2 linked regions of the Drosophila melanogaster genome follow. The gene in region 2 interacts genetically with the main gene of each other region. Each region holds a gene or a part of one and is shown on either strand. Other genes may lie near its edges.

What was found. Genes that interact genetically often act in the same process or in processes that back each other up.
Region 1: of mspo (region 2) and Pax, changing one suppresses a phenotype caused by changing the other (phenotypic suppression), as found in Drosophila melanogaster (one study listed by BioGRID).

Annotation. Positions count from the first base shown.
Region 1 is NT_033779.5:19,421,004-19,426,019, forward strand, and holds the start of Pax (paxillin), read right to left. Parts: upstream 2,550-5,016; 5' UTR 2,412-2,549; exon of another isoform or gene 2,276-2,411; intron 1-2,275.
Region 2 is NT_033778.4:14,711,138-14,716,153, forward strand, and holds the start of mspo (M-spondin), read right to left. Parts: upstream 2,486-5,016; 5' UTR 2,132-2,485; coding exon 1,675-2,131; intron 1-1,674.

The sequences.
Region 1 (5,016 bases), on a different chromosome or scaffold from region 2:
CACATTTTAGATTTTCGTTCCAAACAAATAACGACACATTGGAAAAAGGTAAAAAATAATAAACATAAATTCACCGACCGAACACAAAGCGAGCCGGGCCAAAAATACGAGTATCGAGAAGGGAACGGGGAATCAAGGTTGCCAAATTACGTCAACACCAATGATCGCCAACTAAAAATATCCAAAAGAAAAATAAAAAAACAAAAAAAAAAAACATTTCTAGCAAATCAAAGGCGACGTTTCGTCGTCTAACAAAGGGAGGCTAAACTGGGAAAATCGAGCGAAATTAATTGAAAATACGAGAGATTTCCGCAGATCGTTGCCAAAAGGAAGGGCAATAAGAAAATAAAAATCTCACTTTCCTTCCAGGTCTTGGCTATAGTCAAGTCCAAATCCATTTACCTCCACACCTGAGGCATTACTCAGTCCATTTGGGAATGACGTCGGGCCGAAATTGTTGTTCTCGATTCGGTCTTCCTTCTACGAAGTCAAATTCAAAAGTCAAAGGCACAATTTCGTGTTTATTTTGCAGGAAATTCCTAGCGATCTCAATATAAATATTTTATTAGTAAGTAGATAAAATGTGTGTGAATGCGAGTGTTGACCTTGCCGAAGGCGCTAAGGTGAAAACGCAATGCGTGGCCAAACGGAAAAGTGGGTATCAGCCCAGGGAAATTCATTTGTGTGGGTGATACCGATCTCTCTTCACCGCTCAGTGGCCTTTAGCCGGGCCTTTCAATAAACTTGGCCAATTTATGCCGCTGTAAACTGTGCGTGCTTTTCACATTCCACTTCTGTAATAGGTTCGGGAAAAAGCGACGAGCTATCGCCCACTGACTTTTGGGGCCTTTGGGGTCTTGATAAGATATATAGACCCTATATTGGCCAATGGCCTACGTACTGAGCAGATAAAAGGCTTTTCTGGAATTAAATATCAATGTCTTTTGATTGGCTCAATGGAAGCTTAATTGGTTATATTTGTCGATTGCAAACAATTCAATAGTATTGCACTTATTTATTTCAAAATATTTGTGAGCAATGAATCTAACCCAATGTTTTAATTGCACATCAACTCGCTGCTAACAATTAACGATTTCGAAATCTATCGAAGCCACTCATCTTTCGCTAGCAATCGAAACAACACACTCTAATTGAATTTGTATGGCTGGGCGATAAGAATCTTGTTTCCAGTTGAAAGAACAGAAACAAGGAACAACAACAACAAAACACAGAGCAACTCGCTGAGCAAACGAAAATCGAACTCAAACCTGGCGATGAACTCACTGCACTATGAATTACGATGATGGAGAATCCAGAGGTGCTAAGTAGTTGGGGCTTAAAACGAGCTTTTAAACCCAAATAATCCAGAGATCCAGAGTGATCTGTAGATACTTAGTTAGAGGTTTCAAAACGCACAGACAATCGGAGAGACAAAGACAGCAGCTGTCTGGTCGTAAACAAATGGCATCCACTGAACGTATCTGCGAGATACAAAATATTGGGGAGAAAACGAAAGCGATTCTCGTAAGTGCAGAACCCCCCAACAACAAAATATTCATTTGTGCGCACTATGTCAGCCGAGTTTACATCATTCTCCAGCATTTCCATCTGCTGTCGTAACTCGAGATACTTTTACGAGGGGAAGGGGAAGGAAGTCCCCCCCCCCCCCATCGCACTACCACCACCACTCGTGAGAATGCACTTGGCTTCGATTGCTTGAAATATGTGAAAAATGTCATAATTTTAATAGATTAAGTGGGCACAATTTAATTGCTTTTGCTGCCTGTTGTTATGTTTGTTTGGCTATTTCGGTCATTTCCCTCCAGAAAAACACAGAAATACCGAATTAATTTCCATCTCAACACACCCACGATCTTAATCCGTTCGGGGCCCCGAGGCGAAAATTAATGGGGCTAACCAAAATTCTATGCTCTGCCAGATCTGGGCAAATATGTCATATATTCGAATGTCTTGTCCGTTGATAATTAGTTCCATAATTAGTGGAAATGCTAATGAAATTGAAATGTTTTGCGAGCAACGCGCCGAAAAGATTTGCCAAGAGTTAGTGGAATCTTAAGGCGAGTGACACGGATCCATAAATCTTGGCCAGTTTATTATATTATATTATTTTTTTTAGCTAACTGCTTCTGGCATTCCTGCTTTATCGTTTATCTTAGTGCTAGATATCTTTTGATGTTTGTCAACTTTTTTTTTTACTGCAAACTGTTCTTGCACTCGAAGTAAACAATTTCCCACGCTCCAACCTGCCACTAACACGATTCCACTGATTTTCATCAACTTTTTCCCGCCGTAGTTTGCCGTTAAACACTTTTTCGTTGCCTTTTGTTTTGATTAGGCTTGGTTTCTTATATGTATATTCTATCGCGTTATCTGTGCACTTTTGCCTGCACCTTTGGCAGTGTGTTGTCACATATTCTATATATTAATCCCAGAGATCGTAGGACGCCGTTGGGAGACCGCAATCGAGAGACTCCGAAAAACACACGCGCTGCGCTCGCGATTCAGTAAAAGCGTCGCAATCGACTGAAATCCAAAGGGGGGCCCGATGCTGAGGCTCCAATAGACGAGCGCTCCGGCTCTCTCGCAGCTGCTCACGGAGAGCGGGGGAGCAAGAGAGCGAAGCGTTTGAGAGCTGGTAAACAAACTGCACTGCGAAAAAATCTTCTTAGATTTATAGATGTATGGATGTATGGATAGGCATAGTATATTCAAAACGATAGCTTAGCTTCGTAATAGGGGCTATATCTAAAGTAATATATATCTAAAGGAATGTTTAAAAAGTATGTATCAGCGGTTACAGCTTGTGAAACCAGTATTATGATTATTGTTGTTTCTGAGTAAACAACTAATAAACTAGTAAACAAGTAGTAAACTAATTTTGAAAAATCGAATTTAAAAAAAATGTATTTTAAATCAGAGTCCATATTGTCGTATTTTATTTTCAGTGCCAAGAGAGCCAGTTAAAAGAGAGAAAGAGCCCCACCACGTAGCTTTTCACTTGGAGTGGCTTTTCATTTTGGCTTGCGGCCTGCGGCTGAGCATTTCGACCGCAAGTGGGAGGCACAGCGAAAGGAAACCAGAGCGGACGAAAATATTGTCGCCCGATTGGAGCTTTCCTTTGGGTGTGTGAACAGTGGGCCAGCTGCCAAGAAAACCAACCCCTTCGTTGCTGACGAATAAACGAAAACGTGAGTCAAAGGCATCCAATATCAAAACATTTCTGAAACTATCTTCAATTGTACAGACAATCCGCAAGATTAAATGTTTCATAAAATGACAGTGAAAATTGGTATAAACAAAATTCCTCTGGGACAGTCATGTTGGAAATGCTTATCACTTAACAGCTGCTTAGGCTTTACAATTGTTTATCGACAAACATAGAAGATAACTAATTATATACTTTCATGACCATGAACACTGTGATATACATTGATACGATCACAGAAAAGGCAGAAATGGGATCTCAAAAACTCTTTAACCTTTCGTCCCACTGTGCGAACCTTTCCCCGTAACCATAAGCGATCATTGCTCTGCAGTTGGAGTGCTCCCCTCGGCGGAAAACGCCATCGACGCTCAATGCCCAGACAGACCTAACCGATCTCGACAGATCATCTCGTCTTTGCTGTTACAGTGCGCACACGCAACACGAACAGAAGACATTGCGTGTCGAGTGGGCGATGAAGTGGGCGCGCACTCACTAATGGCAGCAAAGCAAGATTGATGCAACTGAGTTGCTGGAGAAGATCAAGATGAAGTTGGAGATGAAGCTGAAGCCTCTACTTCCTGTGCGAAGTAAAGCTTCGAGGGCAGAATATTTATGCTGAGATTTTAAGATCTCGAACGAATTTCAGTATTATAGTTATTATTATATTATTGTAATCTAAAAAGTGATCTGAAATATTATTTGTTATTTAACATGATTTTGCAAAAGCTCTATATGAAAGTTTCTTAAGATCTAGAATCCTACAAGCCCAGCCGATAAGCAAATTTTAGCGGGCTCTTAGACCACTGTGCGTAGGTGTAGGGCAAGTCAGCTGGAATTCTTCATAAGTGTTAGTGGCCTGGCCTTTAGTCATTTCTTAAGAATTTCTGGACACACAACTCTCGGCTGCAGATTTCGTTTTGCTTCACTTTTATATTTTTATCAAAAGACATTCCGAAACAGCGAAGAATTGTGTCATAAAGAAAATAAAGTGAGACGACATGTAGACTTTTATTTCGCTGATGGAGACTAAAAGAGCACTGTGGGGCAGCGAAGAAAGCAAATACAGCCCGGCTGATTAAGCTGCCTCTCTCAGACCAGATCATTCACATGAGTACAAGGGTTTCGAACTTGGGGCTGCAAGAAACCACACCCTCCTTGCTTTCTAGAATTGTAAATGATTTCACACTGGAAGTGCTGAGCGCGATGCTTTTATGTTCGATTCAAGGAATTAGGATTATTCATAAAAGTGCAAGGAATGCGCGAATCGGACCACAGCTATCGCAATAGCCACTTCCCGAATTAAAAGCTCATTCATTTACTTGTGCACTTTGCACATATGTATGTATGTACATAAGTATGTATGTATGTACATATGTATGTATGGACCCATGTACATATGAACGGGTTCAAAGATAAGACGAGCACTTGAAATTCATCATCAAGAATTTTAAAGCACGTAACACAACCATTTTTAATCGTGATTAATGATTGTATGCTTACGATAAGAATTTCGAAAAACAGTAAATATTGAGTTTCAAGAAATATTCAATAATAAATATTTTTGTATATTGGGAAATATATTAAACAAATAACACATCTTGTTCGGTCAATGACTGAAGATCACTCAAAACTTTTTTACATAATAACAATTTCTTAAAACAGAAGTGAATAACAGATTAATAACTAAAAAGATACACAGAACACACGTTGCCATTCAACACGTGAGGTACGTTTTAGCCACTCTTCACTGTAAACGAAAATTATTCAAGCGTGAGATTTTCGACTTCCTG
Region 2 (5,016 bases):
TTAGTTCATATTTAATGTGAAATGCCTAGTGTTCTGCGAAATGTGTCATGTATATTTTGGTAGTTGATAAGCTTGTTTTAAGGCAAAAACAAATTAACTCTATGGATACCAAGTACTTCGAATATTTCATAGTTGCTATCTTAACAACGATTATTTTTCTTTTGTGTTTATCCCATACAGAAAAAAGTTTCTAAAATAATAATTCACACTATATCAAGCATTCTTAAGGGGAAACCTGAAGAAATTCTCCAAAATAAACGCACACTCTACTGCATTTTAAGTGTTAAGCAGCAAAAACACTCGACTGAATAGCAAAACTATAGTGTAGTTTACGATAAAGTACGGGCACTAGTCCTTTTCGCTATATTTTATGCAAGTATAAGCACAAGTGCAGTGCTCACATAAATCACGCATACGCACTGTGGCACACTGCCTGCCGCAAGAGGAAAAACTATAAATAAGCCAGACGACACTATAAACAACAAGGGAAAGAATGAAGTTTATGGCCCAGAGATGTATAGCTCGTAATGCCCATTTAATTACTCATATGAGAGAGAAAAATATAGAGCGACCATTCTTCACGATAAGCTTTAAAATCAAAACATCAAAAATTCGAATTCCCGGATAAGAATGAGCTATGTGATGGCAGGTCCTTTCCCTCTTATTTATATTGAACAACTTTATCCAATTTCTCGTTTTGCGCTGAGACCAGCACATCGCGCATAAGCACGTACAAATCGCATTTCTTTTCCGCTTCCTGCTTATCCTTTTTTATTTGGCCCTGCATGTGGGCCAGGCTTTGGTTGTTTAGCTGTCAGATTTACTTGTCTCACTGGGTCGTCTGAATATCCTGCAAGCTACCAATGTGAGTGTGGGAGTGTGTGAGCGAGTGAGCGAGTGTGTGTGCCTGTGTGCTATAAATCGACAGCTAAATCTGCAAAAACATTGATAAGACAAGCGACACGCCAATGCGGCCAAAGGCATTTTCCAAACCAAACCAAAGACCCCACTGATTTAACCCAAAATACCAAAACGAACCGAAAATGTTTAGCCAACTTGCTGCGAAATTGCTTTTCGATTTATTTTCCTTACGTATGTAGATGCCCATACATATCCGTGTGTACATATGCATGTCTGACAAATTGGGAGAGAGGTGAGAGGTAAGGCATTGTGACAAATTAGTCTGTGGGCATTTGGTGCCTGGCTGCTGTGCTGGCACAAATTATGAGATCCTTATCCCCATCTCAACGATTGAGTAATCACTGGAGTGGGAGACACACAATGTTTGACCCATTTTGGCTGGGGCATTGGGCCCAATTGGTTTGGATTTGCTTGTTTGAACGAATTTAAAAAAATTGGAAAATCGCAAAATATTTGTACGAAAATTGATGCTGCAATTCTGCTGGAATTCCAATTAGGCGCAAATTAAAGCGTACAAATATTAAAGCATTAAATACGTTTCAATTTATGTTTATAAACCTAAAAAGCTTGCGCTCTTAAATCAGTGCTATATTTCTTTAAAAATCATTATTTTATTATCAAAGTTTATGATCACAAGTTTATGGTTTCTAGATACACAAGCCTAGACCAACTTGCATTTATTTGTTTGGTTAATAGTCTTAAGTAAAACCAAAATTTAAAAACAATTATAATGGTGTCATATGGAGTACTCACCTAATGTCTTGGTCCACTGGGCGGTGGGTCGCCAGTCGGGATAGTGCTTGGGGAAGAGCTCCCGGGTCCAGTAGGTGTGCAAGACGACCTTGTAGACGGCCAGGCGGTCCAGGGTGCAGCCCGTCTGCGGGGCGGGCTGGGTGGCGGGAGGCGTGGCCAGCGAGGCAGTCGGATTCAGATTGGAAACGGGACTGGGATCATCGGTGTAGTAGTAATTACGATTCAGATTGGAATTGGAATTCAGATTGCCGTGCTCAGCGGCAAACTTGATGTTGTTGTCCCTGGACTCGCGTTCATCCGGCTGATTTTCGACACTGTATGCATATATGGATGGGTTCGAAATGAAGGAGGCGCCATAAGCACTAACGGCATTCGCTTTCGAGGATAAGGAGCCGAGAGCCAGAAGGATACACAGCAGCCAGTGAGCCGGAAAGTCTGTTTTCGGTGTCGCTCCCATTTCGTCAAATGTTGCGTGCTAATTCGCTTGCCTTCTGGCGGCTATTTTTGTTTTGATATAATTTATATTTCTCGCTCTTTACTTATCTTTTTTGCTTTTTTTTTGTATTTTGTTTGCCGCTTACACTTCACATTTGCCTTCGGGGGCCGTCGCTTAAAAATAAACGCACACACACACTCGCGGCATTCACATATTTATTTTTGGTTTCTCCAACTTTGTACGCTCTGCGTTTTCTTCACTTTTTGGACTTTTGGCGCGCAGCAAGCTCAATAAATTCGATATGGGTGCGAATGGAGCAAGAACTTGCCACAGATTCTACACAACCGCCCGCGTTGAGAGTTCGTCGCGGACTGAGCAAATGTTGCGGCAGGCAATGAAAACATGGCCCATGGGAGAGAGAACAACGGTGAAGCACTGCAGAAATTGAGAGTGAGAGAGAGAGTGCGGAAATGCGGGAGAATATTAACCATCCTTTGGCAGAGAGAGTAAAGAAATTTCCGTGTTGGGGAAATTCTTATCGTCCAACTGTTGTTGAAGGCGGAGAAAAAAGAAAGAAACAGCCTGTTGAGCTCCCAGCTAACTGGTGTTGCCCGAGGATATTTTTTAGTGCCACTAGGTTGATGTTAAGTTTTATGTTAACTTTTACTGTTCTGTTAACAGCTAGGACTAACATTAAATTATAAAGAGAGTGATAGTTTATTTAATAATCTGACTAATATCTTCTATTTTTATGTCAATTTAGATTTCATTAAAATATAGTTTTTAAGCGTCAATATAAACATACATATAAATATAAACATAAGAGCATTTAACATTACTACTATTACTTATAATTTAATAACCATCAGGAATTTTCTTTTTTTATGTAATAATAAAAGATTTTACTATGTTTCATGATTAATTTGAGTTCCAATAGTTTTTACTGTATTATTTAAGTACTATGTTGATGGATTTTAACCTTCACTTATGCAGTTCAATGACAGAAACTCGAAAATCCCTTATGAGACTGCGAATTTGACTGCCGCCGAACACTTGACTTTTCCCCAGATGAGCGTTAGTTGAACTCCCATTGTTGGCTTAACCCCCAACTGCGATTAACCCCCTGTGATTACCGTGGCTTGTGTGGTGCTTTTCCGCACCACTCCGCTTCTGTTGCTATTATTGTTGTTGTTGTTGTTGTTGTTGTTGCTCTTGTTGCTGGTGATTTCCACAGGCTTAGTCGCATTTATTGCACATTTCCTTTCTGCCAGTTCTGAATGTCAGCGTTAATGAGGCGGGCTTATGTGAATGACGACTATTTACGTATATGTGTGTGTGTGTGCACACATCTATCTCAATCTGCGACTATCAACGAGCATGTGTGTGTGTGTGCGACAGCTCGACTTTTACCATTGTGCTCGAACAATGAGAACAATTTCCGATTAAAACCAATTGAAGCTCTTTAATTGCTACAATTCAATTAAACAACACGCTAATGGCAACACAACGGCCACAACTATCGATTTATTTAGTATGGGGGTGGTGGTCAGCGGTCCGGCATTCTTTCAGAACTCCACTTGAACTCACTGCCGGTAATTGCCATTGACATGTGCTCCCGGTGGCAATTATACCACCCCCACCCCCCCTGGATCCATTGTCCCATCCCTCGGGGAAGCGCAGTCTTCAGGTGGGAGCTTCCCGAAACTTGGACACACACAATTATGTTGCACTTAAATGAGTTGTACGTGTCCTGACCGAATGTCCGTGTCCTGTGTCCTTTATAGATCGTGTCCTGCGATACGCTTGAGTACTTCTCGGCACTCGAAGAAATTAAATTTATTTTTTATCAATCTTGTATAAAATAATATATATTCATTATTCAACTGTATTTAACGAACAGCATGTCTACGTAGTGACGAAAGTCACTATATGTTATCACAGTTAACAAAATTGACTGCTCCTCGTTTTTCCCAGTCTATGTAAATTGTGCGTGCGTGAAATTTATTGCAGTTAATAATAATTGTCCATTCTACTTGAACGACGACCACAACGATAATGTGTAGCCCCAACCACTTGGCCGTGTCTCTAACCGCCTGCGGTCAATTATAAACGGACAGTCCGCCATTTGTCTTAGACATGGTCACTACCAGGTTGTTCAGCTGTCCTTTGGGCCTTTTTATGGGGCTTTAAACGCCGGGCCATTAGTTAAGTGCGTCATACACAAATACACAAGCCCTAATGGAATCCATTCAAATGAGGTGCTAATGCTCGTTTTGTGTAATGTTTGTGACCTAATGCAGGAGAGTTACAATTGACGACTTCGATTTATGGAAATTAATTCCAAATTTATTTTTATGTATTTCTTTTTAAAATAGGTTTAAGATAATATAATATTTACATACTAATTTGTAAAACCATCTTCATGATCGTGAAAAAAACGAATAAATTTTATAATGACACAAACAAAAATGATTTTATTTTATGCGAAAAATTTATAACAATTCTAAGATTAATATTTTAAGCTTATCAACAAAATCAACAAAAATAATCTAAGAGCTCTATAAATTATAATTTATATATAGGTTTTCAATAATGTCGGCATTAACTACTGATGTTTAGAAAACAATGGGAAATTCTCTCCACTGCACAGCGCATGAGTTTTCTTCCTCTCATTTTCCTCACTCTCTCTCTCTCTCTCTCTCCCTCTCTCTCTCTGGTTTTCCCCGGTTTTTAGTTTCGCTCTCACTTCCACCCACCTGAGCAGACAAGATATTTGTGTTTGTTTGTCGGCAAAATACGAATATAATCCATTCAGCCAAAGTAAAATCCCAAATACATGAACCAAAAGGGACAGCGGATGGATTGGCAGGAAAATGTGGAAATGCGGCCCCCAAAAATGTTCTACG